Kluyveromyces lactis: one gene and its partner. The protein of the gene in region 2 interacts with the protein of the main gene of each other region in a biochemical or structural test. Links are inferred from orthologs where the notes say so. Each region holds a gene or a part of one and is shown on either strand. Other genes may lie near its edges. The genes, in order: KLLA0_E08405g and PAN1.

The links.
Region 1: of the proteins of PAN1 (region 2) and KLLA0_E08405g, one has a biochemical effect on the other in vitro, tested with the Saccharomyces cerevisiae proteins (4 studies listed by BioGRID). The link is inferred for Kluyveromyces lactis from reciprocal best matches to the Saccharomyces cerevisiae genes PAN1 and PRK1.

The regions. Positions count from the first base shown.
Region 1 is NC_006041.1:750,413-763,051, reverse strand, and holds KLLA0_E08405g (Ark/Prk/Nak family serine/threonine-protein kinase), read left to right. Parts: upstream 1-4,513; coding exon 4,514-6,847; downstream 6,848-12,639. Other genes in the region: transcription factor TFIIIB subunit BDP1, read right to left, coding at 95-1,810; KLLA0_E08449g (uncharacterized protein), read right to left, coding at 2,066-3,334; histone deacetylase HDA1, read right to left, coding at 6,890-9,004; rRNA (cytosine-C5-)-methyltransferase RCM1, read left to right, coding at 9,688-11,163; LYS12 (homoisocitrate dehydrogenase), read right to left, coding at 11,273-12,382. UniProt on the Saccharomyces cerevisiae protein: Protein kinase involved in the regulation of actin cytoskeleton organization and endocytosis. Phosphorylates PAN1 which disrupts the interaction between PAN1 and END3, and between PAN1 and SLA1. Phosphorylates SCD5.
Region 2 is NC_006040.1:1,149,076-1,161,803, reverse strand, and holds PAN1 (actin cytoskeleton-regulatory complex protein PAN1), read right to left. Parts: upstream 8,434-12,728; coding exon 4,459-8,433; downstream 1-4,458. Other genes in the region: AIM21 (Aim21p), read left to right, coding at 1-866; DJP1 (Djp1p), read left to right, coding at 1,252-2,553; KLLA0_D13442g (bifunctional 4-hydroxy-4-methyl-2-oxoglutarate aldolase/oxaloacetate decarboxylase), read right to left, coding at 2,770-3,477; U2 snRNP complex subunit IST3, read left to right, coding at 3,813-4,313; KLLA0_D13376g (alpha-mannosyltransferase), read right to left, coding at 8,955-10,946; RRM3 (DNA helicase), read right to left, coding at 11,237-12,728.

The DNA of each region.
Region 1 (12,639 bases), on a different chromosome or scaffold from region 2:
AGAGTCTGCACAACTCCATGAATATGAATTCAGGTTGAAAGAGTCCTTTCTTAAGACAGATCAAATATTTTAGAGATACATACTTAATATTATACTAAGTTTGAGCTTCAATAGCTGCTTCCTCAGCTCTCTTCTTTTTGAGGTCATCGATAGATCCAAGAACGATTTCCGATTTTCTGTATCCTTTGAGTTGATCGTACCTACCTCCATGTTTACCTTTTTGTGATCTTTCATGCTCTTTAACAGTTTGTTGCTTGATGTCTTGCTCTCTAGCATTTTGACGTTCTACTTCAATTTGCTTTAGATGCTCTTCATGTTCCACTTGTAGTTGATCTAAGCGCTTGTTGAACTCAGTAACCGTGCCGATATTTTTTCTTGTTTCTTTGCAATACTGTTCAAAGTTTGGCGGAAGCTTAGATCTCAATGCAAGTTCTATCATGACAGGATGCTTTTTTTCTTCGTTCACAAATTTTGATTTGATTTGCCGCCTTGACCTATAAGGAAACAGTTGAGATATTAGATTGAAATCTGTCCCCCACATTGATAACGCCTGATAAAACTTGATCATTTCTTCAATAGTCCATGGATCTGTAAACTGCTGACGACCGTACGTAGCAGAATTGTATAAATTTTCGAATGGATTGTTCTGAATTTTTTCTTTAGATGAATTTTCAAGAGACGCGTTCTTATGTCTGTCGACAACCATAGATTCCTCATCAACAACCATAGATCCATCTGCGGCCATCTTCAATTGAATACCTTGATGGGGTTTCTCATCTGGCACTTCCGTATCAAAAAGATCCTGGGCGGCTTTCTTTCTTTCCTCTTTCAATTGTTTTTCTTCTTCCGTTACTAGTTCATTCAAGGACTTGAACTCTTTTCTAGCCATTTCTCGTAGTTCCCTGCGTTTTCTTCTCCTTTCAATCTTTAGCTTGGCAGCTTCCTTAGCCCTGCTAAAATTCTCAGATATTTCACCTATGGGAAGCGTTGGTTTACATAGGTCCGCCATAGTAAAGTTTTCTTCGTCTATCAAGTATTTGGATGAATCTTTGTCCGCTATTTTCTTTGGAATCATCTTCAAATTGGTAATGGTGTATTTCTGATAAAGATCATCAGTTCTTTGGAAGATATCGTCGCAGTTTTCAGAGTCACCAGCTGGTTTTGCAGTTAATGAATCGTCGTCTGGACTACTCATCCGTGATACTATACTAATCCTTTGAACTTTACCCGGTCCTTTTCCGGTTGAGGATCTTGATGACATTCGTCTCCGCTTAATTGCTTGCAGTGAAGAATCATTCTCCGAATTAACTGTTAAACTCTTCTTTCTCAGTGACCCTGTGGATATACTGGAGAGCCTTCTGCTTCTTTCTGGTACATTTCCCGTATTCAAGGAACCAGGCCCCATGAAACCAGACTTGAAAGTAGGTTTAGTTCCAGAGAGCGAGTCTAGTCTACTAGACCTACGGCGGTTGGTAGCACTTGATACTGTGACAACCGGTATCTGAGTGCTGGTTCTTGATGGGTTCAAATTCTTGACTAAAGTTGTTTGACTTAGTGGATCGTCCTCGTCAACAGTTTCGTTAATTTTGGATTCTTCATCACTTCTTTTTGGCTCCGTATTATCTGTACTAGACTCATTCAGTCCGTCCTCGTTATCGGCTTCATTTTCATGGGAATCTTCAGCAGTAGACTTGGTTATGTCATCGGACACTGGTGGTACCACAGTTGGAGCCGGTGTGGAGTTCAGTATCCGTCTTTCTCTTAATTTAGGAACAAAGCGCTTGGCGCTTTTATTCACAACACTACTCATGGTTGTCAGCTGGGTAGTGTAGCTTCAAAGATTCTTTGTTGTATGTTAGCTACTACCTAATGAATAGTGCATTCATCAAAATATATAGCACTGTCGCCATATTAATGTTTACTATCATATTTATTACAAAATTCCATATTTTCGTCAATCAAACAAGGCACAGTGACATATATCCGGGTAATAAGTGTATATTTTAAATATGCGAAGGCATTAAATAGACTGTTCATGTAAAAGAAGATAATAGCATACACAATATTAATAAGGTTTATAACGGTGTTCTTTCTCCTTCTTGGATTTAGACTTGGATTTTTTATCACTCTTCCTATCTTTTTTCCCATGTTTATTCTTCTTGCTGTGCTTCTTCTCCTTCTTATCTTTCTTTTCTTTATGTTCATCATCACTACCAGTAGAAGTAGAATCCTGTTCAGATGTTGAGGATGATTCGTGCTGCATTGTTTCTTGTCCCATATCCATTTCAATTTCTCTGACAGAGTTTTCAAATGCTGTGAATGGTAGTGTATAATCCCAAAAGTTGTGTGGAACGTTTAAAGAGTTCGTAGTGTCCTTCCATACATTAACGTAACCATCTTCACCACAAGAGTATAGGAGGGAAGTTTGATTTTTTGGAATAAGCACATCTCTTATCACTTCATTTCCGTGTGCATCAGGTATTACCAGGGCACTAGAAACATCAACTTGTTCATTTTGGAATGGTATTATCTTGAGTTCACCTTGACTTTCATGAGTTTTTCCAGTTGCAATGAAAGATGGGTATATATCAATAACATAGTCACAACCCCACTTATCTCTTACGTCTCCAAATTCTAGTGGTTTAGGCTCTATCATTTCATCTGATTTATCGTTCAATTCGTGAATACCAAAAGTTTCCATATGCGACAAACTCCAAATCCTTTTCGGGCCAAGCCATCCACAAGAATGGATGGAAGCAAAGTTGATAACTTGATGTAGTGCATCCTCCTCATCGTCTTGAGTCAAATCATAGATGTTGACGTAACCATCAGTAGACCCACTCATCAGCAAGTTTGAGTCGCATGGATGGAATTTTATATCTGTAATGTCATCATGATGCGAGTCCACAAATGACCGCACAGGTTTAGTCCAGTTTCTTATATCATAAATATGCAATTCAGCATCGTAATCCTTTAGTTCTGTGCCACATGCTAACATATTGTGCCTTGAATCTAATGAGAAGAAGGGAGATGCTTTATCGTTTTGAAGAGACGCAACATTGTTTCGGGCTCTAATATCCCAAACTTTAACACCGTCCTCTGCTGCAGTAGCGAACACAGCACCAGTATCAAAATCGGAGTTTATAACTTTCATATCGTTGATGGAGGTTGTATGGCATTGAATACTGGATATGGTTTTCAAGTTGCCCCAATCCAATAAATGCACTGAGCCGTCACTTATCGATGTCATCAATCCATGTTGATATAGAGGTTGCAATTTCAAGCACCAGTTGTTTTCTTCAAAGTAGCGACATTTGTATTTGTTGAAGGACATTGTGGGACTTCGCACCGTGACTGGTTATAGTGCAGTAGACTTTAACAAACTAGTTTACTCGATGGGATGAGATGAATCTTTTCTACCTCTAATCAAAAATAATAGCTTTAACTACTGAAAAAGAAAGATTCATGTTCGAAGGTGGAAGGAAATGGTAAAAAGAATGGTTCCTAGCGGGATCGAACCGCTGATCCCCGCGTTATTAGCACGGTGCCTTAACCAACTGGGCCAAGGAACCAGATCTTATGGTTTTTCGTATATTTTTCCAAACTCATGGCGCATGGTGGCGAGACCGCTCAGGAACAATAATCGAGTAGCTACCAATCTAATTGACGGATAAGTAGCAATATGTTACATAGACATGCAGCTAATAACAAATATCGATTCATCTGATTCTGAAGATCCAGATCTGGTGGCACGTGACTGAAATGGTTAGATAAAAAACATCAACATCTTGACATCTCACAGGCTGAAGAGAACCATATATTCCATCACTTTTTTTTAAGCCACATTATTCCAAATTAATGTTTATTAGCATAGGAGGCCTTAGCAAAACCACAAGGCCACCGCTGTAACTATTCCCTGCTGAGAAACTTTTCTCCACAAAAAATAAGGGCACAAGTAAGCACCAGGGTCCAAGACTTGCCTTCACCTATTGTTCCTTTTTCCTTGCAGTTGTTATCACTCTTTTTAGGGACCCGCCCCTATTAACATTTTCCAATGTTGACAAAAAAATCAGGCTTGAACATTGAAAATGGAAGTCAGTTTTTTTTTCATATAAAAAATTATAGATTTGGTAAATTAAGTGCTATTCAATGAGGTTTACAGCGTTGAGCAGGGCAACAAGAAGCATAGTAGTTCCACCAAGCTACGGGGTTTTATCCTTACATTTATTTTTTTTGCATTTCATAGTTCATCCAAGTGGTGCACTTTTATCAATTGTGAGTTTTGCATTATTTTTTTTTACTTCATTCTGCCTGGACAAATTTCCATCAATTTGCTTATATACTTTTGTGCTATAGGTCACAGTACAAGAGAGCACGTAGGAAAGACGGCATTTGCAAAAGTTTTCTCGAAGGTTAACCCATTTGTGTTGGCGTTATACGCTTACTGTATTTTAACTGCTGGCTTTTCTCTTTTTCTTTGCATTCTGAATTCACATCTATATGGATCTTTAAAATGAATCAGCCGCAAATTGAGAAATACGCATCGGGTACCATATTGCCTGTTGGATCGCATCAGGTGAAGGTTTTGAAATATCTCGCGAGCGGTGGGTTCGCGCATGTATATTCCGTTGAAATTAGCCCGCCAGATCCGGTATGCCCAGATAATGTAGCATGTTTAAAGAGAGTTGTTGTTCCTGACAAAGCAAGTCTTAACACATTGAGGGCGGAAGTGGATTCAATGAAGGCTCTTAGAGGCAACAAATTCATTGTTTCGTATATCGATTCACATGCCACTAAGTCTCCGGTTAACGTAGGAATGTATGAAGTGTACTTGCTTATGGAATACTGTTCTGGCGGTGGGCTTATCGATTTCATGAATACCAGATTGCAGAATAGACTTCAAGAGTTTGAGATTCTCAATATCATGAGTCAAGTGAGTCAAGGTGTTGCTGCTATGCATGCTCTGCAACCACCATTGATCCATAGAGATATTAAGATTGAGAATGTCTTGCTCTCGAAAAATCATGAATTTAAGCTTTGTGATTTCGGATCAGTGTCTGGTGTCATTCGAGCGCCAAGAAATACAGAGGAGTTTAACTATGTCCAGTACGATATAATGAAAAATACAACGGCGCAGTACAGATGTCCAGAAATGATCGACTTATACCGTGGTTTACCGATAGACGAGAAGTCTGATATTTGGGCATTGGGTGTCTTCCTGTACAAAACATGCTATTATACTACGCCGTTCGAGAAAAATGGGGAATCTGCCATCTTAGCATCTAAATTCGAGTTCCCAGCCTATCCACGTTATTCTGATAGAGTGAAAAATTTGATAAGTGTCATGTTACGTGTAGATCCTCTGAAACGTCCGAATATTTGTCAAGTGGTAGAAGAGGTTTCACGTATTCAAGGCATTCCATGTCCAATCAAAAACTTTTATCTGTTAAGAATGATGGATAAACAGGAACAACCAAGGGTGTCGCCACCTCCTCATGTGCCACAGATGACTGTGCCGGCAACTGTGCCAACTTCTGTTTCAACTCAGCATCTGCCCCCCCAAGTTGTATCAAACGTACAGACTCCATCGAAAACTGCATCTATTCAGCACTTGCCTTATTTGCATGTGTCTAAGAGTCAACCTATGGTCACACAGCAGGATTTACTCTCACAAAAGCAACCTGCAGGAAAAACAGTTCCTCAGACGGTTTCAAACTACACAAGTTCAGATCCATTCTCCAAAATTGATAGATCTGCTCTTTTGTCTACTTCTGCTACAATGGAATCACTACCGAGGGCAATGAGAATACCACAACTAGAATATCAACAGCCTCATCTTCTGACAAGATCGCAATCAGTAGTGCCTAGAGCCTCTGTGAGTCCAGTAAGAAATGGTAGAGGTGCCATTTCAAGTATCTTGGCATCAAACAGAACATCCTTAGATAGACCAAAGTATGTGGACTCTGAAACTCAAACCAGCGATCATCCATCAGAACTGGGTCTTTCACGATCTCTGTCTAGAAAATCAGTCGCATCATCTCTGTCTTCTGCGGAATCCTTGGAAGCTACCTCAACTGGCGGTAGCTTGACTCGTAAAATAGGTTCTAAGATGAAAAAAGTTATCACCGGAGAGAAGAGGGGCTTTTCAACCATTAGAAGTGCACAAAATACCGGTGAAAGCGTAAAATCCGCATTTAACGCATTAAGAAAGGGAATTTCCTCAATGCAGTTCACTGGTGATAGCAGTTCCAGAAAATCATCTTTAGAAGCAAGAAAGTATAGAAGTACTTCAGGCAAATCCATTCCTGAAAATACTTCTTCTAACACCAAATCCCATAGGCGGTCCACCAGCTCGTTTTCCTTCGTTCCGGAAAATAATGACTATGAATTGATCGAAGATATACAAAAGGAGAAACCAAAATCATCACTGAGAAGATCCTCTTCCTTGAAAACTTCATCTTCGATCCAGAAGCGCGTTAAAGATCTAATCAATGCAGATGATATACCCAATCGCTCTTCTGCCACTGGATACGGGAAATATACTGATATTGGGAGGAAAACCGATATATCTGACCACCATAAATCCAATGCAAATCGTAAATCAAGTACAGTGATCACTCCTGTGCATGAGGCTCCTAAATCCAAACCAGCACCGCCACCCAAACCAGCTCATTTGAAGCCAAATCTTCCACCTAAGCCTAAACACCTAAAGGCAAAATCTTTCAGAACAAGCCCAGCAAAATCCGAAGTTAAAGAGCAGGATTCCGATCAAGATTCTGTGGGTAGCCCTTTCCAATCTCGAAAAGAAATGAAAGAGTTTGAAAGAAGATTTCCAAGTGCATTATAGAATACTTTTAAAATTACATATATCTTTATAATGATATTCTAATTATTCCGATTCACTCCATTCTTCGAAAGAATCCAATATGAAATCAGTTGCTTCTTCAAAACGTTCATCGAATATGTTTGTCATTCCGTCACAATCTGCCTTCAAAACTCTACCATACTTCTTTCTTAACTTCTTATTTTCGTTGGCCGTACTACCCCAACAAGAATGTGTGCTACTTGTGAATACCAAGGAATTCTTGAAATACCAATCTCCTAACGTTTCGTCAATTAATGGCACCATTACTTTAAGAGGTTTTTTGTCTAAAAATGATATTGCACATTTTACCACTGACCTGGTATCCCTATGGCCTAATAAATGGACAATGCCTCCGTAGGCATCTCCAATGCCGATAAATGCCACCTTTTGTAGATTTTGGAAGAATTTCAAGTAGTTATCCCATAAATATATCAGAATCTCTTGTGATGACGCAACACCTGGGTAGTTGGCATGTTCAAAGAGTGTTTGAGGTATATTTATGTCAATTATTCCATATCTTCTATCCATTGCCCAATTGATCATCTTCAAAGCATTGTCGACGATAATTGAACTAGAAGGATCAATAATTCCTGTCTGTGTGTCACGTTCAGACCAAATCTCTGGTGTGTCATGCACGATCACCACAAGTGTTTCAGAGTCTTGGATACCTGAGGTGCATAGCATAGTATTTGCTGGTAAATTCAAATCAAGAATTGGAAGTTGAACAAAGTTGAATTGTGATGAGAGCTGTGAAACTTGGTATTCTCTAATAGCATTTTGTAAAGGGAAATTCCTTGTGTCCAATGTTGAAGTTATAGCATCCTTGAAATTGATCCCGTCATTTCCATGTCTGTTCTTAAAGCAAGACCAATACTTTGACTGCGTTCTGATGACTGTTTCGATCATTTTTTTTGCCTCTGGAGTTGGTTGCTTTTTAGGAGCAGGCAATTCATCTGGTGGTTCTCCGACCAACACCTTACAAACACCAAGCGCCGACTTAGCTATAGAATCCAAATTGTACCCACCTTCTAAGACAACACACAAGTTTCCTTTAGCCAACGAAAGTAGCATATGGGTCATGTGACCGTAACAAGCAGGAGTAACATGGCATTGGCCGATAGTGTCACCATCGGCTGCATCAAAACCAGATGAAATAAGGACCAAATCCGGTTCAAACTCGCGACCCATTGGCATGATAACTTGTTCAAAAGCCCACATGTATTCAGCATCACCAACACCGCCTGTTGGCCACGTTATATTACAATTGAAACCTTCACCTTTCCCTTCGCCGGTTTGGTCATAGTTTCCATGGATAGTACCTGGGTAATACTTGCCTAATTGATACCTGTGAAGAGATACATATAAAACTCTATCATCGTCATAGAAGGCCTTTTGAGTTCCGTTACCATGATGGATATCCCAATCAACGATCATGATTTTACGAACACTTTCAGGATACGATTTGAGCATATTTGCAGCAGCGACGGCTACGTTACTGAACAAACAAAAACCACCAGCAATTTCAGGTTCAGCGTGATGACCAGGTGGCCTTACTACAGCTATTGAGTTTTTCACTCTTCCCTCGACGACAGCCTTACATGCTTCGATAGCACCACCGCATGAAAGTTTGGCACTAAGATACGAGTCATTATTGAAATACACGGAATCTCCACCCTCAGTCTCCTTGAGTAAACTTTCACGTTCGAGCTGTTCTGTCTGTGATATGAAATCCAAATGCTGTCTTGAATGGACTTGCAAAATTTCTTCCTCTTCAGCTTCACGTACGGGAACCTTCACCATTAGATCTCCGATCGAATCTGCACCACTCAAAGTTGGGTCCTGAATCAATCCATTCTCCGCTAGGATCTTGTAAACACGGTAGATACGGCGGGGGTCCTCTGGATGTGGATCGATGTATTCGAAGTAAGACGTGAAGATCTTAGCATGATAACGCATCCTCACATCATAACAGATCCCGGTTTTCAAAAGACTATATCTAATCTTTGGCTTCGTTGGTGGAACAATGACAGGCCGTTGAGATTCATCTTTACTGGGCAGAGTATATGCAGTACCCTCATTTTTAATTTCCTTGATGCTGGGCCTTTCCAGCGGCTCTTCAGCCGGTTTTTTACTTTCCATGTTCCGAATATATTATGGAAAGGTAACCACGATAATGTTGAATGACAGGCAATGGCAAAAGGGATACCGTAACTAGCTTTCAATGGGAAACGGTCTACTAGAAATGAATGATACAACCACAAATTACGTAACTCCAATGCACGCTTAATTCCCTAGAGCGCCTTTTTACCTTCTAATCGTGAGGAAAGGCTAAAAGTCCACTGAAAATGGCGGAAAAGCTGTGAGAGAACTCTCTTCGTTCGGATTATCTCTCGAAATTTTACTGGCCAAAAAAGTTGTTTTGTGTTCAGATACCGTCAGAATCGTTTGATTGACCTTGGTTATATGGACGTAGCTGTCTTGCACAGGATCTGGTACTCAGAAGATCCGTATGAAGATCAGCTGTTTCACATATGGTTCCATGAGCGCAGGAAATTGTTGATGTTTTAAAGTTCCAATATTTACAGAAAACCAAACTGAGGTGACAATAGAAAAGAAATTATTTTTCAACATCGGACTCTTCAAGTACTGAAAATTGAAAATGTATAATACGTATGAAGAAACATGTAACAAGAGCTCATCGCGATGAGGTATAGAATAGACGTAATATAGTTACGTGTTAGAACTGATTTTGCTGGATCTGTGGTACAAGCTATACAGCGCTATTTCATTGGATTTTCATTTTAACTTCATTGTGATTCGAGATGGAATTCTACCGTGATGCAACCTGGGTATTGGAATTCGTGGAACAGGAGCTCTCTAAAGACAAGAGAGTTGCAGGTTCGTTACAGACCTTGGTACTTACTAGTTGTAAAAGATATAAGCTGAAGACAAATCCTCGTCACATTTATGCCATTGTTAGTAGTACATGGCAGTATAGGGAATATCTAGATAAAATCATTAAGAAGAGCGGGATCTTGGAGGACGTACCGAAAAAGAAAGGGAAACCGCTGTTCAATAAGGATACCATAAGGCTCCTAGTACACGACCTTTTACTTTCAAAATCGAAGCGGATTCAGATGGGTAAGCATCCTATCAAAACTTTCATTTTGAAGCATCAGACTAGGTTAAAGGCTGAGTTGACAAAGCTCAAAGTTAAACTTAAAGTCACCAGTCTGTCGCAGTTAATCAAAACCGATGATGGAGAAGATGTTACACCGGTTCGTTGGATCAGAATTAACCCTATCCTTGTCAAGGAAAGATATGACGATGTTCTTGCTGAATTAAACAAGAAATTCCCACAAAGAGTGAACTCTTGGAAACAAATCGTTCCTGGGAGCATATATTACGATGAGTATATTCCAAACTTGTTTGGCATTCATCCAGGTGATAAGATCACTTCGCATGAGCAATATAAGAGGGGGAAAATTATCATTCAAGACAGGGCATCCTGTTTCCCCGCCCACATCCTCAATCCAAACAGTACTGACGTTGTTATCGATGCATGTGCGGCTCCCGGCAATAAAACCACACACGTTGCGGCACATATCTTTGGAGACGTTGACACCAAGGTCGATTCAGTCAAGATACATGCTTTTGAGAAGGATCCTGAGCGTGCAAAAACTTTACAGATGATGGTTGCCACCGCGGGTTGTGCTAAGGGGGTCAAGATACATGTTGGTGATTTCACAAAACTTGGTAAACCAGAACTTTTCCAGAATGTAACTGGATTCATCGTTGATCCAAGTTGTTCTGGCTCTGGTATATTTGGCCGTAAGGCAATTGATAAAGTAAACTTGAGCAAGACTGGGTCATCAAACACCGATGAAGATCAGACCTCGGTTGAACCTGTGGAGCAAGAAAAAGAATTGTTTGAAAAGGAACAAGATTTGAAGAATAGATTAGCCAAATTATCATCTTTCCAATACCAAATTGTGAAACACGCCATGTCTTTCCCATCTGCTAAGAAAATATGCTATAGTACTTGTTCTATTCATGCTGAAGAAAACGAAAGAGTTGTCATTGATTTGCTCTTAGACTCAAAGGTCAAGGAATGGGGTTGGAAAGTAAGAAAGAGAACCGGTGTAATTCCAACATGGCCTAGAAGAGGATGGACCAGTGAATTTGAAGAGGTGTTTCCGAAAGAGGAAGCAAAAGAGTTGGCAGAAGGGTGCATCAGGGCTTTACCGAAGGAAGATGGTGGCATTGGCTTTTTCGCCGTATGCTTTGAGCGAGATTAGTAAAAGTCCATTAGTTCTATATCCACTGTCCATGATAAAATAAATATCGAATCATAGCAAAGTTATTGGCGTAACAAACGTAGAAATATATTCATTATATATTAATTAATTAATCTAATTTAGATAGAACATCCTCCAACACTTGTTGGGTGGTGGAGTTACCACCAAGATCTGGTGTCAAGTATTTACCCTCTCTGATGTTGGCATCAACAGCTTTGTGGATATCCTTTGCCGGTTCTGGGTAACCCAAAAATTCCAACATCAATGCAGTGGATCTGATGGTGGCAATTGGATTAGAAATACCTTTACCAGCGATATCAGGGGCAGAGCCATGACATGGTTCACCAATAACGATGTTTGGACCAACATTGGCAGATGGAACAACACCCAAGGAGCCAACTAGGGCAGCAGCACCATCAGAAAGAATGTCACCGTACAAGTTTGGTGCAACAACAACGTCGAAACATTCTGGTTCTCTGAACATTCTGTAAACCATGGAATCGACGATTTGTTCATTATATTGGACACCTCCGTACTTGTCCTTGTTAGCTTCATAAGTTTCTCTGCATACCTCTCTGAAAAGACCATCAGATTGTGAAAGAACATTGGATTTGTGAGTAACTGTTAAAGTGGCATGACCGTTCTGTTCCAATCTCTGTTGAGCGATTTGTAGAGCGATAGTAGCAATGTTTTTGGTTGCTATTTCGGTAATTCTCTTGGTAGCATCTGCAACTCTGGTTCCGGTGGCTTCATCGATGTATGACTTTTCCAATTTAATGTATAAATCTTCAGTGTTTTCTCTAACGATGACTAGGTCAACTTTTCTGTCCTTAGTACCATCAACAGATTTAACAGGACGAACGTTAGCGAAAAGTCCCAAATTCTTTCTTAGGGCAACGATTGGAGAAGAGTAACCTTCAACCTTAGTCGTTGGTGATTGCACAGCACCAAATAAAGCACCTTCACATTGGTTCTTCAAGATATCAATGGTTTCGTCAGGGAGTGCCTTACCGGTGTTTTGGAAGGTTTCCCAACCAGCTTGCAAATCAATGAATTTAAACGATAGACCGTACTTTGGGTTCAATGATTCTAAGATCTTCTTACCAGCAGGAATAACTTCTTTACCAATACCATCACCTGGAATTAAACCAATTGTTAAATTCTTCGCATTGGAAGCGTAAGCACGACGGGACAATTGAATGAAACGTGTTCTCATCATATTGAATGGTTGTTATATAGCGAAATGAAACAATTCGCTGCTTGATCTTCGGGACAAGTAGTTCGATAACCTTAAAACAAAGTAAAATGTGATGGTTTTCACAGAATCAACTACAGCTGCAATCCAATCCAAATCGTAACACTGGGGTGTATTTATAGTTTACAGGTTATTCAGTTTCCTGTAACTCATATTTCTTTCAATGATCCCAATGACTGGTTGATGAAATTTCGAATTTCCACAGGAATTTATCTGCGATT
Region 2 (12,728 bases):
ACACGTCACCAAAAGAAGGCTCTCCAGCTACTCAAAAGAAGAAACAAGGAAAATCTCCACCTGTACCAAAGAAACCTTCCTCTAAGATTGCAGCTTTCCAACAAATGTTCCAAAATCAACAACTCCAACCGGAACACACTCCTAGCCCTAAGGAGCCAGCTGCTCCTAAGACTGGTGGATTCTCCGGAAACAGAGCTCAATTTGCTCAGAATTTGAATGGGATGATTGCTCTACCTGGAATGGCGCAACTGACCCCAGCTTTAGCTAAAAGATTAGGTGTTTCCACATCGTCAGATGATGCCGAAACTGGCGCTGAAGTTGAAACTAAGAATACAAAAGATGAGGCTGAATTACCTAAGGTCCCAGCCCGTTCTAAGAAGACCAGAGGACCACATAAACGTCTACCAAAAACTGTTGCCTCAATTGAAAAAGTGGAAACGAAATCCACGTCTAATATATCTGTCGTAAAGGCATGGACTATATCTTTCAAGCCCGACTTGCCGGAACGGGCTGATGATCAACCAATGGAGGCAGAATTGACTGCAGGGGAAGCAATTGCGCCATCTGAACCAGCTGGCCTTGAAGATGTTGAAGCAGAAGATCTGAACGAAGCCTCACCAGAAGAACCTCTGCAAATAATTTCTGAGTCTGGAAACAGCGATGAGTCTGAAATACAGCATACTTCAGATCCGTCCATTGCACAGAATGTGGAACATGAAGAAGAAGTACATGAGGAAGCAGAAGCAGCGCCTGAAGCAGAGCCTGAAGCAGAAGAAATCGCTTTGGATACGGAAGAATCGAATCCTACGGCTTTTATCGCTGAAACTTATGATGAAGATACCGAAGTAGAAACTCCCACAGCTTGAACTAAATACTCATACATTTGAAAAGTAACACTAACATCTAGTAGCTAAGTCCATAGATAACGTCTAGCAGGTATACCCTGGTGCCGATACAGGGGAGTTCTTGTATCTTTGAATATACCTATTAAAAGTTACCCGCACTTTATTACTCGACCCAGATAAAACTCGATATCAATATCAAATGCACCAACAAGGCGATACATAATGATTTTAGTAGTCATTGATGAGTTGACAGCGTTGTTGAAGAGCACATATTATCACTCGAGCAACGTTTCAGGCTTTTGAAAGGTACATTCGTATATCTAAGAGTGTTTGGAGCTTTTGGTTTGGTGCTATAACTGAGGTAAACGGTCTAGAAAGAAGAGCATTTAGGATCTATAGTAAAAGAATGGTGGTAGACACGACATATTATGACTTGCTAGGCGTAGCTACGGATGCCAAACAGATTGATATCAAGAAAGCGTACAGAAAAAAATCAGTGAAGGAGCATCCAGACAAAAATCCCGATGATCCCACAGCAACTGAAAGATTTCAAGCTATTTCTGAAGCTTATCAAGTCTTGAGTAGCGAGGAGTTACGTATGAAGTACGATAAGTTCGGTAAAGAAGAAGCTATGCCTAAGAATGGCTTCGAGGATGCAGGTGAACAGTTTGCTGCGATATTCGGTGGTGAGGCATTTACGTCTTATATTGGGGAATTAACGTTGTTGAAGAATATTCAAAACACACAAGAGTTAAGTGAAGAGGACGAAAGAGCAAAGGAACAAGAAGCAAGTGAAAAGGCCACTCAGCAAGCTCATAATTTGAATAATAATAACAATGCATCTAATGGTGATGATGACACTAAATCTGCTGAGGATAGCACTAATAATGGAACTGCCAAGAAGCTAACATCAGGAGGCGATGATTCGTCCAATCCCGAGACTAAGAAAAAGGGTAAGCTAGAAGAGTTCGAAGAGCAGCAAATGTTAGATAAAGAGAAGAGTATAGAAGAGCTCAGTAAGACGTTATCGGACCGTTTGTCCATACTAACGGAAAGTGCATACGATGATGCTTGCAAGGAGTCATTTGATAAAAAATTCGAAGAAGAGGCGAACATGTTGAAGATGGAATCGTTTGGATTAGATATCTTGCATACAATAGGTGAAATCTATTGTGAAAAGGCGAACATATTCTTGAAATCACAATATTTATGGGGTTTTGGAGGTTTTTACCATTCAGTAAAGGCTAAAGGTGGCTTAGTGATGGATACCGTACGGACCGTTTCTGCAGCCTTAGATGCTCAATCTACCATGACTGAGTTGGAGAAATTAAAGGAAACTGCGAACTCGGAGGAACCACTAAAGGATGAAGCTGGAAACGTTGTTGAAAAACCAACTGTGGAAGAGTTAGCACAATTGGAGCAGTTATTAATGGGTAAAGTCCTTTCAGCCGCATGGTACGGCTCAAAATTCGAGATCATGTCAACTTTAAGAAGCGTATGTGATAAAGTTCTAGAAGATGAGACCGCCGAGATGTCAACAAGGATAAGAAGAGCTGAGGCTTTGAAAAGACTTGGGAAAGTTTTCAGAAGGGCATACCGGACGAAAACAGAACAAGAGGATGCCCAAGTGTTTGAAGAGCTCGTGGCGGAAGCAAGCAAGAAAAAGGGTCATAAGCATCACACTAGCAGCACTGCCAATAAACAGTGAATACAAAATATTCTCAAACCGAGTGCTTCCTACCTAATAATAGCATAAACACTTGCCAATTCTTGTTTTTTCATTCTTTATTTCTGCATCATGTTCATATATACATACATAGCTTGCTACTTAATTGACAATAATATTAATTTAACATAGCGATAAACTTTCGACTACGCAACCGAATATTGCAACTCCTGACGATCAACGGGGGAGGGCTGTAAATTACAAATATTGTTTAAGAATTGCTCTACGTTCTGATTGAGACTGAGCAGCAGGTTTTCCCTCCTTTATGTCTTGAGAAACAAGGTCATCGGCTTCGATAGACTTTTCTATATATGTGATCAACTTATCTAAGTCGACGGCGGCAGTTGGAATACGAACCATTCCATGATCATCACATACCAAATAATCGCCGGGATTAATTGTCTCCGTAGTGCCATCGCTAATCTTAATCTTCAACTCACAGTTATACGAAATCGGTTTCAAAACTGCTTTTGGAGCACAGGTACCGATACCGTAACTGAAAACGCTGTGATCCAATGCCTTATGCTCTTCGATATCTCTGATTCTACCAAATACAACCGTACCATGGCTGCCTAAATATTTTGCTCTTGTAGACATTAATCCACCGTACATGCCCTGAATAGGTTTGGTATATGGAGCACTGCTCAATTGTAAATCTTCAGTCATACCGATGGTTACGATAGATTCTGCTGGCACATTATCGATGTAATTGACACTGGGTTTATCTTGGGTAGCATTTTTATGCCCGAACAACACAGGAAAAGCCCTACCCACGATAGTCCCAGACCCTGACCTTCTCACCAAATTAGGGAAATATCCACCATTAGTGATTCCATACAAATTCAATAGCCCATCTGAGATGTCACAAGTAGTGAAATGTCTCAACCTTGCAAGATACTCTGACATTCTGCGTGTGGGAATTATAATTCAGCAGCGATCCCGGTAGTGCATAAACTCTGGATTTAACTTCTTTCGAGCGATGGAAAAGTGTTGATAATTTAAAGGTGTTAAAGATTTGAATAAGTTTCTTGAAAGTTCGTTTATATAAGAACAAGAAGACAATTGAAGGTGTTACGCACGAATGGAGGAACCGGAGAAGAATTTGACGGTTACCGAAAAGGAGCTGCAATTTTCTGATAGAAAGGATAAGGAATAACCAATAGAGCTGGTACTTTGCGGTCATTGGGAGGCTGGTTCAACTGTGAATATTTGGAAGTGAAGATCCAATACGATTATCAATTATGAATCAGATAAGGTCGATACAGAAACTTAGTGAAAGGGAGTTGGAATGTGGGATTCTAAAGCCAGAAAGCTCATGGCATCATGAGTATAAAGATCAGGCCTACATAAACTTTGGAGGGATGCACCTCGAATTGACAGAAGCTGATATTCTCACCATATTCTCCCAGTACGGCTGTCCTGTGGACATCAAACTTGTACGCGACCAGACAACTGGAAAATCTAAAGGGTTCGGGTTTCTCAAGTATGAAGATCAAAGATCGACTATACTTGCGGTGGATAACCTAAATGGAGCCAAGGTTTGTGGAAGACTGATACGAGTAGATCATGCTTTTTATAGGCCAAGATCCGATGAAGCTGAGTACGAGGAAGCTGTAAGACAAGAGTTGGAGAAGGATTTCGCAAAAACAGGAGACGTACCGAGTGAACCCATGAAGCAAGAATCGGTGGCTGACCCGTTGGATGAGTTTGCTGATCCAATGGCTGCGTTTCTGAAGAAATGAAATTCACATTCCTAAAGGAACAAGTACGGAGCAGTTCTTTTATGACAACGTAGACTTTTAGTTTCAAATGATATTTATGTACATATCCTGTAACTACTTTTCAATAATTTAGATACATGAATTTACGGACGCGAGAGCATATAACTTATGGCATCGGTGGTGGTGGAGGGATGACCGGCACTGGAGGAGCGGGAGGAGCGGGAGGGATTGCGCCAGTAGGTGCGACAGATACATCTTCAGCACCTGGTGTATGGAACTTATCTTCCTCATCAGAGGCCACCGACTCTGGGATAGATAGTACGTCGGATGCATCATCCGGCTTTGGTTCTTCGTTCTCTGCTAAAGTTGCAGTTCCTCCTACTTTTAGTAAAGGAGCTGCCACAGGAACAGCAGGTGCTACGTCACTGTTTATTTGAGGCAATGGTGGGGCGATAGGTACTGGTGGGGCACCAGACCCTTCAGTAATCGACGTAGGCAATGGAGGTGGAGGTGGGATCAGGGATGATTCGCTTTTAACTAAAGGCAAAGGTGGTGCAATAGGAACAGCGACAGACGATTGTTCTTGAGTGGTTGCAGAAATCTGTGGGAGAGATGGTGCCACAGGAACGGACGCGGTAGATGTAGCAGGAACAGCGGTACTACTGACATCAACAGCTTTGTTGGCTGTAGTATTTACCTTCTCTGTTTCGTCATCATCTGACCATCCGTCACTGTCATCCAAGCCTCGTTGAACCCTTCTCTGCTGTTCAGCTGCCTTCAGATCAAACGAAGATGATTGTGAAGGAGCTTGCTTGAAAAATGGATTTCTGCCACCAGTTGGAGTGTTATTCAATTGTGGGGTACCAGCACCAGAGGCGGGTTTTTGCTGTGTTGCTTCACTCTTGCCAAATGGATTATATTGGTGATGTGATCCGGCTTGTGATTGGTTTCCAGTAGGGTTTGTTGGTGTAGGTTCATCATCCCAGGAGTCATGACCGTTATCATTCTTAGTTTCTGCTGGTGATGAGCTGGTTTGACGCTTGGCTGCTAATCTAGCTTCTTTTTCTTGTTTTTTCTTCAGTTTCAGTTTTTCTAATTGTTCTAACAATCTTCTCTCCTCCTCGTCCTCCTCATCTTCATCATCATCGTCGTTAGCTTTTGGTAGATTGGAGTTGTTTACCGCAGCAGCAGGTTGACTGGGTTGTTGGTAATAGTTAGGTTGCTGTTGCTGCTGTTGCTGCTGCTGCTGCTGCTGCTGCTGCTGCTGTTGAGGCTGTTGTTGCTGAGTCAATTGTGGAGGATTAGGTGATGATTGTGAACTCCCTGATTTCTTTTTGATTCCTAATGCTGCCAATTTTTCTTCCATCTTCTTTTTAGCTTGTTCTTTGACATATGCAGATCTTTCTTCAGGTGTTTGGAAACTTGAGTACGAGTCTTTTTCTTCAGGCGCACGAGCGTTGTTTCTATAGGTTGCTGAAGAAGAGATTTGAATACCGTTGGAGTATCCTGCGGTATTGTAAGAAGAATTATCGAAGTTTCTTCTGTTTTTCCAAGATATGATAAAGTCTCTGACTTCTGGTTCTAGACCGATACCAGATTCCCATTTATCCATTTCGAGGCCCATTGAAGGAGTTCTTCCGTGAATTATAGCTTGCACCGAAGAAGAGATCTCTTGAATCCAGGTACTGATGTTATTGATGGCAGATTGGTTCTTTTGATCATCTTTTTCGATAGTTTCAATTCCTTCGTTGAAATGTTGTGCTTGTGCCTCCAAATTATCGTAATTTGGTTCAGGTCTACCGACTAAAGTACACATTCCTGCAGTCAGGGTCAGTCTTTGCCTTGCATTCTTACAGTCTAACTCAGTGATTTTACAGTTTGGGCCACTACCACGGATTGGATGATCTACCTTCAAGTGGTGCAATGCCAACTGACTTGAAACCAATTCTTTGCTCACATCAGAAATTTCTTTAAAAAGGTTTGGAATTCTGGCTGTCAAAGTATCAAATCTGGATTGTAAATCATGTGGCACAGCATTGTTTGCAGAAGGTGATTTTTTTGAGGTTGAGGGCAACGCTTGAATTTGAGATTTCAAATTTTCAATTGACCGTAATAGATCAGCATTTTCAGACTGCTTTCTTTGCGAGTCATTTTCCAATCTTAATTTTTCCGAGGCAAGCAATTCCTTCTTTTCCCTAATTAAGTTCTTTAAGTTTTCAATCTTCTCCTTATTCTCATTAACCTTCTTAGACTGATCGATTGTCTTTCTACGATTTCTCGAACTTGGCAGTAATTCGTCATCGTTGTTTCTAAATCTCAAACCATCTTCCTTAGTTGGCTGTCTATTATTTTTATCAACACCTTGTTTCAATTGATCTTTGACTGTGTTTAAAATCTTTGTCGAGGATGGAATTAGACTTGGAGGCAACGTATTTGGTAGAACCTCACCGTTCAACCTGCGATAAACTAGATGCATACCAAGTGCGAATTCTTGTTTGTTCAAGTTACCACTATTGTTTGTATCACATAGATTCCAGATATGTTCTAGGTCTGACCTGTTCAAACCAGATTTACGGAAAATTTCAACAGCAGTTGCAGAGTCAAGGTTCCCTGTTTTCTCAACATCATAAGTCTCAAAAATCTTGTAAAACAATGATTTTTCTTCTGGAGTGATGGCCTCTTCCTTTCTTGCAATGAACTTAGAAGCAAGATTAGCTGAAGTGTAAAGATCGTTGTTACCAAATCCTGTCTTCTGAGCTTGAAGTGGCGCAGTTGCTTGAAAATTGGATGGAGGTAAGTATCCAGTAGCTTGTGGTTGCAAAAATCCACCTCCAGTAGCCAAACTTGTCTGCATTGGAGCTTGCTGTGTGAAAGATGTTTGCGGCATTGACCCTGGTGGTGGTATGTTCAAAACAGAGCTAAATCCACCAGTGGTTTGAGCGTTCAACGGTTGATTGAAGGAATTTTGAGGCATGAAACCCGTGGATTGTGGTTGTAAAGCTTGGGAAGTGTTACCAAAAGAAGTCTGAGGTGCTGCTCCATACCCACCAGTTGGTTGCTGAGTCAAACCCTGGAAACTTTGTTGCTGCGGTTGTTGTTGTTGTTGTTGTTGTTGTTGCTGCATCTGCTGAGGCTGACTTCCGAACGATAGCTGTGGCATATAGCCAGTAGGCTGGGGTTGCATCATTGATATTCCAGCAGTCAAGTCATCGAACGGTGTCTTAGGTTTTTGTTCGACTTCCGAATCATTCGAAACACTGAAGTTAATAGCATCAACAAAACTGGAAACCTCCGCCTTGGTTCTCGAATCCAACTCATAAGGAATGGAATCACCTTGCAATACAGAATTGACTAGATACATTGCCAATGCAAATTCTGGGAAGAGAAGCACACCAGCCTTATTAGTATCTGAGAGAGTCCAAATTTTGGCCAATTGATGAGGCTGTAAGCCAGATTTGACCAAGATATTTCTGCACTGGTCACCAGTTATAGTGTTGGAACCAGGAGTGACAACCGATCTAAACAACTTCTCAAATTTGGCCTGATCCTGAGTGGTAATGAAAGACAATCTAATGGCAGGAATCTTCAAAGTGTTGTCAACACCAGTATTCGCGAAGGAATTGATGAAACCGGTGGCGGTTGGCTTCAAAGGTTCCAAAGGCTGCTGCTGAGAATAGAAGCCAGTCTGTTGAGGCTGTAACGGACCTGTTGGTGCATTGACAGCAGTAGTGCTCATCCCTTGATTGAAAGACGTGTTCATTGGCATTTGTTGTTGAGGCTGACCAAAGGATGTTTGCGGCATCATAGAATTGAATCCCGTCAATTGTTGGGTCAGTGGCATTTGTTGTTGCTGATTACCGAATGGTTGTTGCATGCCTTGTTGTGGTTGTGATTGTGGTTGTTGTTGCTGTGGCTGTTGTGGCTGCGCCTGTGTTTGTTGACTGAAACCTGTAGGCTGTTGATTCAAAGCGCCAGCGTTGCTAAAGGTTTGAAATCCACTGAATTGCTGCTGCTGGCCCTGAGTAGGGACCTGTTGTTGATAAAAATTCCCATAACCAGTTGACTGAGGTTGGGCATTGAATTGCTGTTGCCCACCAAATTGCTGCGGCTGCTGGGGCTGCTGCTGGTACTGGTTGTACATAGCAATTAGTAAATGGTTGGTTGACCCTTGAACTCGCTGAGCAATACTGCGATTCGCACCTCCTAAATCAAGATCAAAGTTGTCTTTAAACCCTTTGAATGGGGAATCATTTCAACCAAGAATTTCGTCAAAGTCTCCTATTCGATGATCACAAAATACGAAGAATATCGAAGCGTCAGTGTCAGTGGACGGATACTACAAGAACACTCGAGTCCGAGAGTGATACTGCGTCTATAAAGCAGATTACACCTCGGGGAAACTTCGTGAGCTATCTTCGCATGATTCTGGAGCAAGTTGTGCGGGTATAGGGTACATAATACGGCTGATGTCACTTTAGACATCTGTTTAAAAGTTTAAGTTAAACTACGTAAGTACAGGATGGTGACAGAGGAAGTGTTTTAATGAATACCTCTACTACACCATGACAGTTACACTATGATCAAAATATCAAAAGGCCAGGGGGGTTGGTAAGAACAGGAAAAAAAAAGATCAAGTTAATGGCGTTGGAGATGAAGACACTACTATATTTCCATGTTATCATCAAGTTTGACGTTTGAATTCCAGATATCCGAAACAGATTGTAAACGTGAAATAGTATCGGTATCGAATTTGACTATGGTTCCTACGTTTTCTTTTGCTGTGGCACAATAAGTGTACTGATGACACTCCTTGATTTTTTCCCAGGGATATTGCCCAACATTCGGCGTGATATAACCACTGATAGATAATGAAGAATCATACATTTGCTGTAAGGCAACAGGGTTGCCGTATTTCTCTTGGAAATAGTCAGGGTCGTGGTCGAAATCAGCCACGGCACAGTCTTGTACCTTACACTTCTTCAACCCACCGTTGGACCATAGTAAAGTACCTTCTGTGCTGACGTGAGCCATTTGGGTGCCACATATTTCAAAAGTATCATCAGGCTTGTTTTTAACGGTACCCATGATGGAACCTTCAGTTGGGTATATAGAATATTTCTCTCCGGCGAGCAATTGGCCAAGCCAAAATATTTCTTTATCGCCGTAAACGCATCTTTGAAGCTTACCATCGATATTCATCATAGTTGAGATGAGTAGACTAGATAATTTTTTAACTCGATCAACTACAACTAATCCACTATCTATGTGATGTAGTTGTAAGTTATGGAAGAACTTATAGTATATCTGCTCTTCCATAGATAGAGTATCGATATTGATATTATCATTCTCCACAAGTTCGAGGGGGAAAGTAGATCTATGGCTCATGAAATGGGTTTCTTCTACAGACGGGAAAAGCTTCTTTAATGTATCTGTACAATAAATAAAAGTTTTCTCGCCTATAATATTTCTGTCTCTGAATAACAGCATGCCAGTGTCCTGATAACCTTTGAAATCAAAATAGGATTCAAGACTGGCAAATGACACAGAGTCCGCATCCAGTAGAATACATTCAGAAAAGGTATTGAACAATAATGCCATCCATTTATTTATGAAATAATGGACGTATTGACCAACGAATGAAGCATCGATTAACGGTTCAATATTGACAAAATAAACCTGCTGTGATAATTTTTTTGCGTTTAAGAATGAATGAATGTCGTAAATGAAGGCTTCAGTAAGCTCAGATCCGTTGTGAATAACTTGTATTGGAAGTGTATTATTTAAATTCTCCAAAGTGAGAAGTAACTTCTTGAACTGGTCACCGTGCCTCAGCCCCAATGTCAGTACAATTCCCTTCCCCTCTGCAAAATTATTCCAATTATAGAAGAATGAATAATTATCATCCATTTTCCAGGTGTCTTTACCTTCTAACAATGGGTTACTAAAAGAAGGAATCAACGTCCAAGGATTGACATGTATCATTTTAGGCCACAAATGTCTGAATGGTGTCTTCTTTGAGAGGAAAGGGAATAATCTCGATTCAAGATCGTTTGGCTTCACGACTGATCTCTTGAACACCTTGGATGTGGATAAACCTCCACTGATGAAACAAGAATCATACATCCTTATCCGTTCTAACATAAGCTCTGCCAAGGGGTCATCCAAATTATTGTCGTTATGGAAGTCTTTAATATGATCATTATTCCATGTTGGGTTTATTTCCAATGTTGATTCGAAATAAAAACGGCATTTCTGCTCTAGGGGTAGCGTTGGCCAGTCCAAACCAATCTTATGATACTTATTAGTAGCATGTAGAGCCAACGAAAGCCATTTTCCGAGGTTAAGCGAGCTTGCGAGTCTATAAAATGGAGAGTAAATTAGTGCTCTTTTACCTTCAAAATGTGGAACAGTTGAATTTGGTACTGCTCCGCTTGGTAATAGAAAAGATATAAACAGCAACGTAGTTACAATCCCAAGCACCTTGATGCTAAATATCCTTCTCCAACGAAATTTCATCGCTTCAGGGCCACAAGCATAGTCTCTCGGATTTCTTTCTTGTTTTGAGTGCAGATAGAGTCTCAGCCTCATCGGACAATTTGATTTACTTTGTTTATTCATTACATATTTTAGATTATTTGGCTTGTTAACTGACATTGAATAAACAAAAGATAAAAAAAAACATCACAGACCCCTATCATCGATATAATAGGACCCGAATGTGTATCGTTACAGTATATCAACAAATAACTGCCTTATGCCTTTTCTTTTTTGATATATATATGCTTTATTTATCATTATGCGTATATGCCATGAATGTTCGGCGATTTGATGAATAATTTAAGTTTAGCTTTTAAGGACAGCCCCAACTGGGACATCTCCTCCATGACATGAAATAATGTGCGCTCATTCATACTCTAAATTTTTTTTTGAGGTTGTTAAGCTATTCATGTCTTTAGTTTATGCAAGTTTTGGTAAAAGTCCTTTACCTTTTCATTAACCTTAATTTTATGAGGATCAAAGTTTGTTATTTGTAGTCTATCCTTCGAGACAGCTCTTGATAATGCCACATAAACTTGACCTGATTCAAAGGTCCGTTTCAGGTCTACTTTTAGTCTATCGATAGTTTGACCCTGGGATTTGTGGATGGAAATTGCCCAACATAGCATTAAAGGTAATTGTTTCCTGACAGCAGAATCCTTCTCAGTTTCTCCGACAGAGAATTCTTCTGGTTCAACTAGTTTAATTTGGTATCCTCTGATGTCTTGTTTGTCTATGAATTTCACAACAGGGAACATGATTGTCGATAGAATACCGGGCCCATTTACGATTTTACTTGCTTTATCCAATACGAAGTTAAGAACTTCTTGCCTGTTTGTTGGTCTAAGATTGATATCCCGTTGTAAGTCCGAAGATCTACCAGATGGTGGCACACCAATGGCTCTGCAAACGCATCTCATATCTTGTACAACTTCCGGATCGCTTAGATCAGGGAATATCTTGGATGCTTCCAAGAACAATGCCGAAGTACAGAAAAAGAGGACTCTTCCTAAGGAACCATTGACTAAGGTATCATCGATGTTTTTCAACATCATTACTTGGGCATCCTCCTTCAGTTTGATTTCTTTTTCTGCCATAACGTTGTTAAGAATATTAGAATTGATATTAGGAGGGATAAAATCTACTGCCTTGTAAAGGATTTCATAACCTGGCAACCTCTCTAACCTACGTTTATTGGACAGTTCCACTTCACGTCTCGTTGGGTAAAGTTCGGTTGGTTCAATGCCATCGTCGTATTCCACTGGTGCTTCAAATTTTTTAATTAGTTTAATGGTGTCGCCAGATGTGTTACCCATTCTAATACCGTTCAAAAGATCAATCAATTCATTATCAGTCTGCCTGAACACCTGTTGTAATAGTATGGTTTTGTGGATAGCATATTTCCATACGTTACTCTCAAAGCAAAAGATTGGACCAGCCTTATTTGAATCTCTATCTGGAACAGGTGGAAGCTGGAAAAAATCACCTGTGAAGACCAACTGAATACCACCAAAAGGTTTAGTTCTATTCAATAAACCTCTTCCAATTGCATCCAGTTTATCAAGGAAGTAGCCATCAATCATTGAAATTTCATCCACAATCAAAACTTTAGTTCTCTTCCATCTGTTAAGACTAGTCTTGTTTCTTTTGACCATATTGATAAGTCTATTAGCATCACCTTGGCCAATACCTACACCAGAGAATTTGTTAATTGTAATACCTCCAATATTAACCGCCGCAAGACCTGTGGAAGCAGTGACCGCTACAGCATCTTTCCCATATTTTGCATTAAGCGTCGAGATCATGGTTCTCAATATAACGGACTTACCTGTACCTGCGCTACCTGTATAGAACACATTCAATCTATCTTTGCACACATATTCTATTACTTTCCTCTGC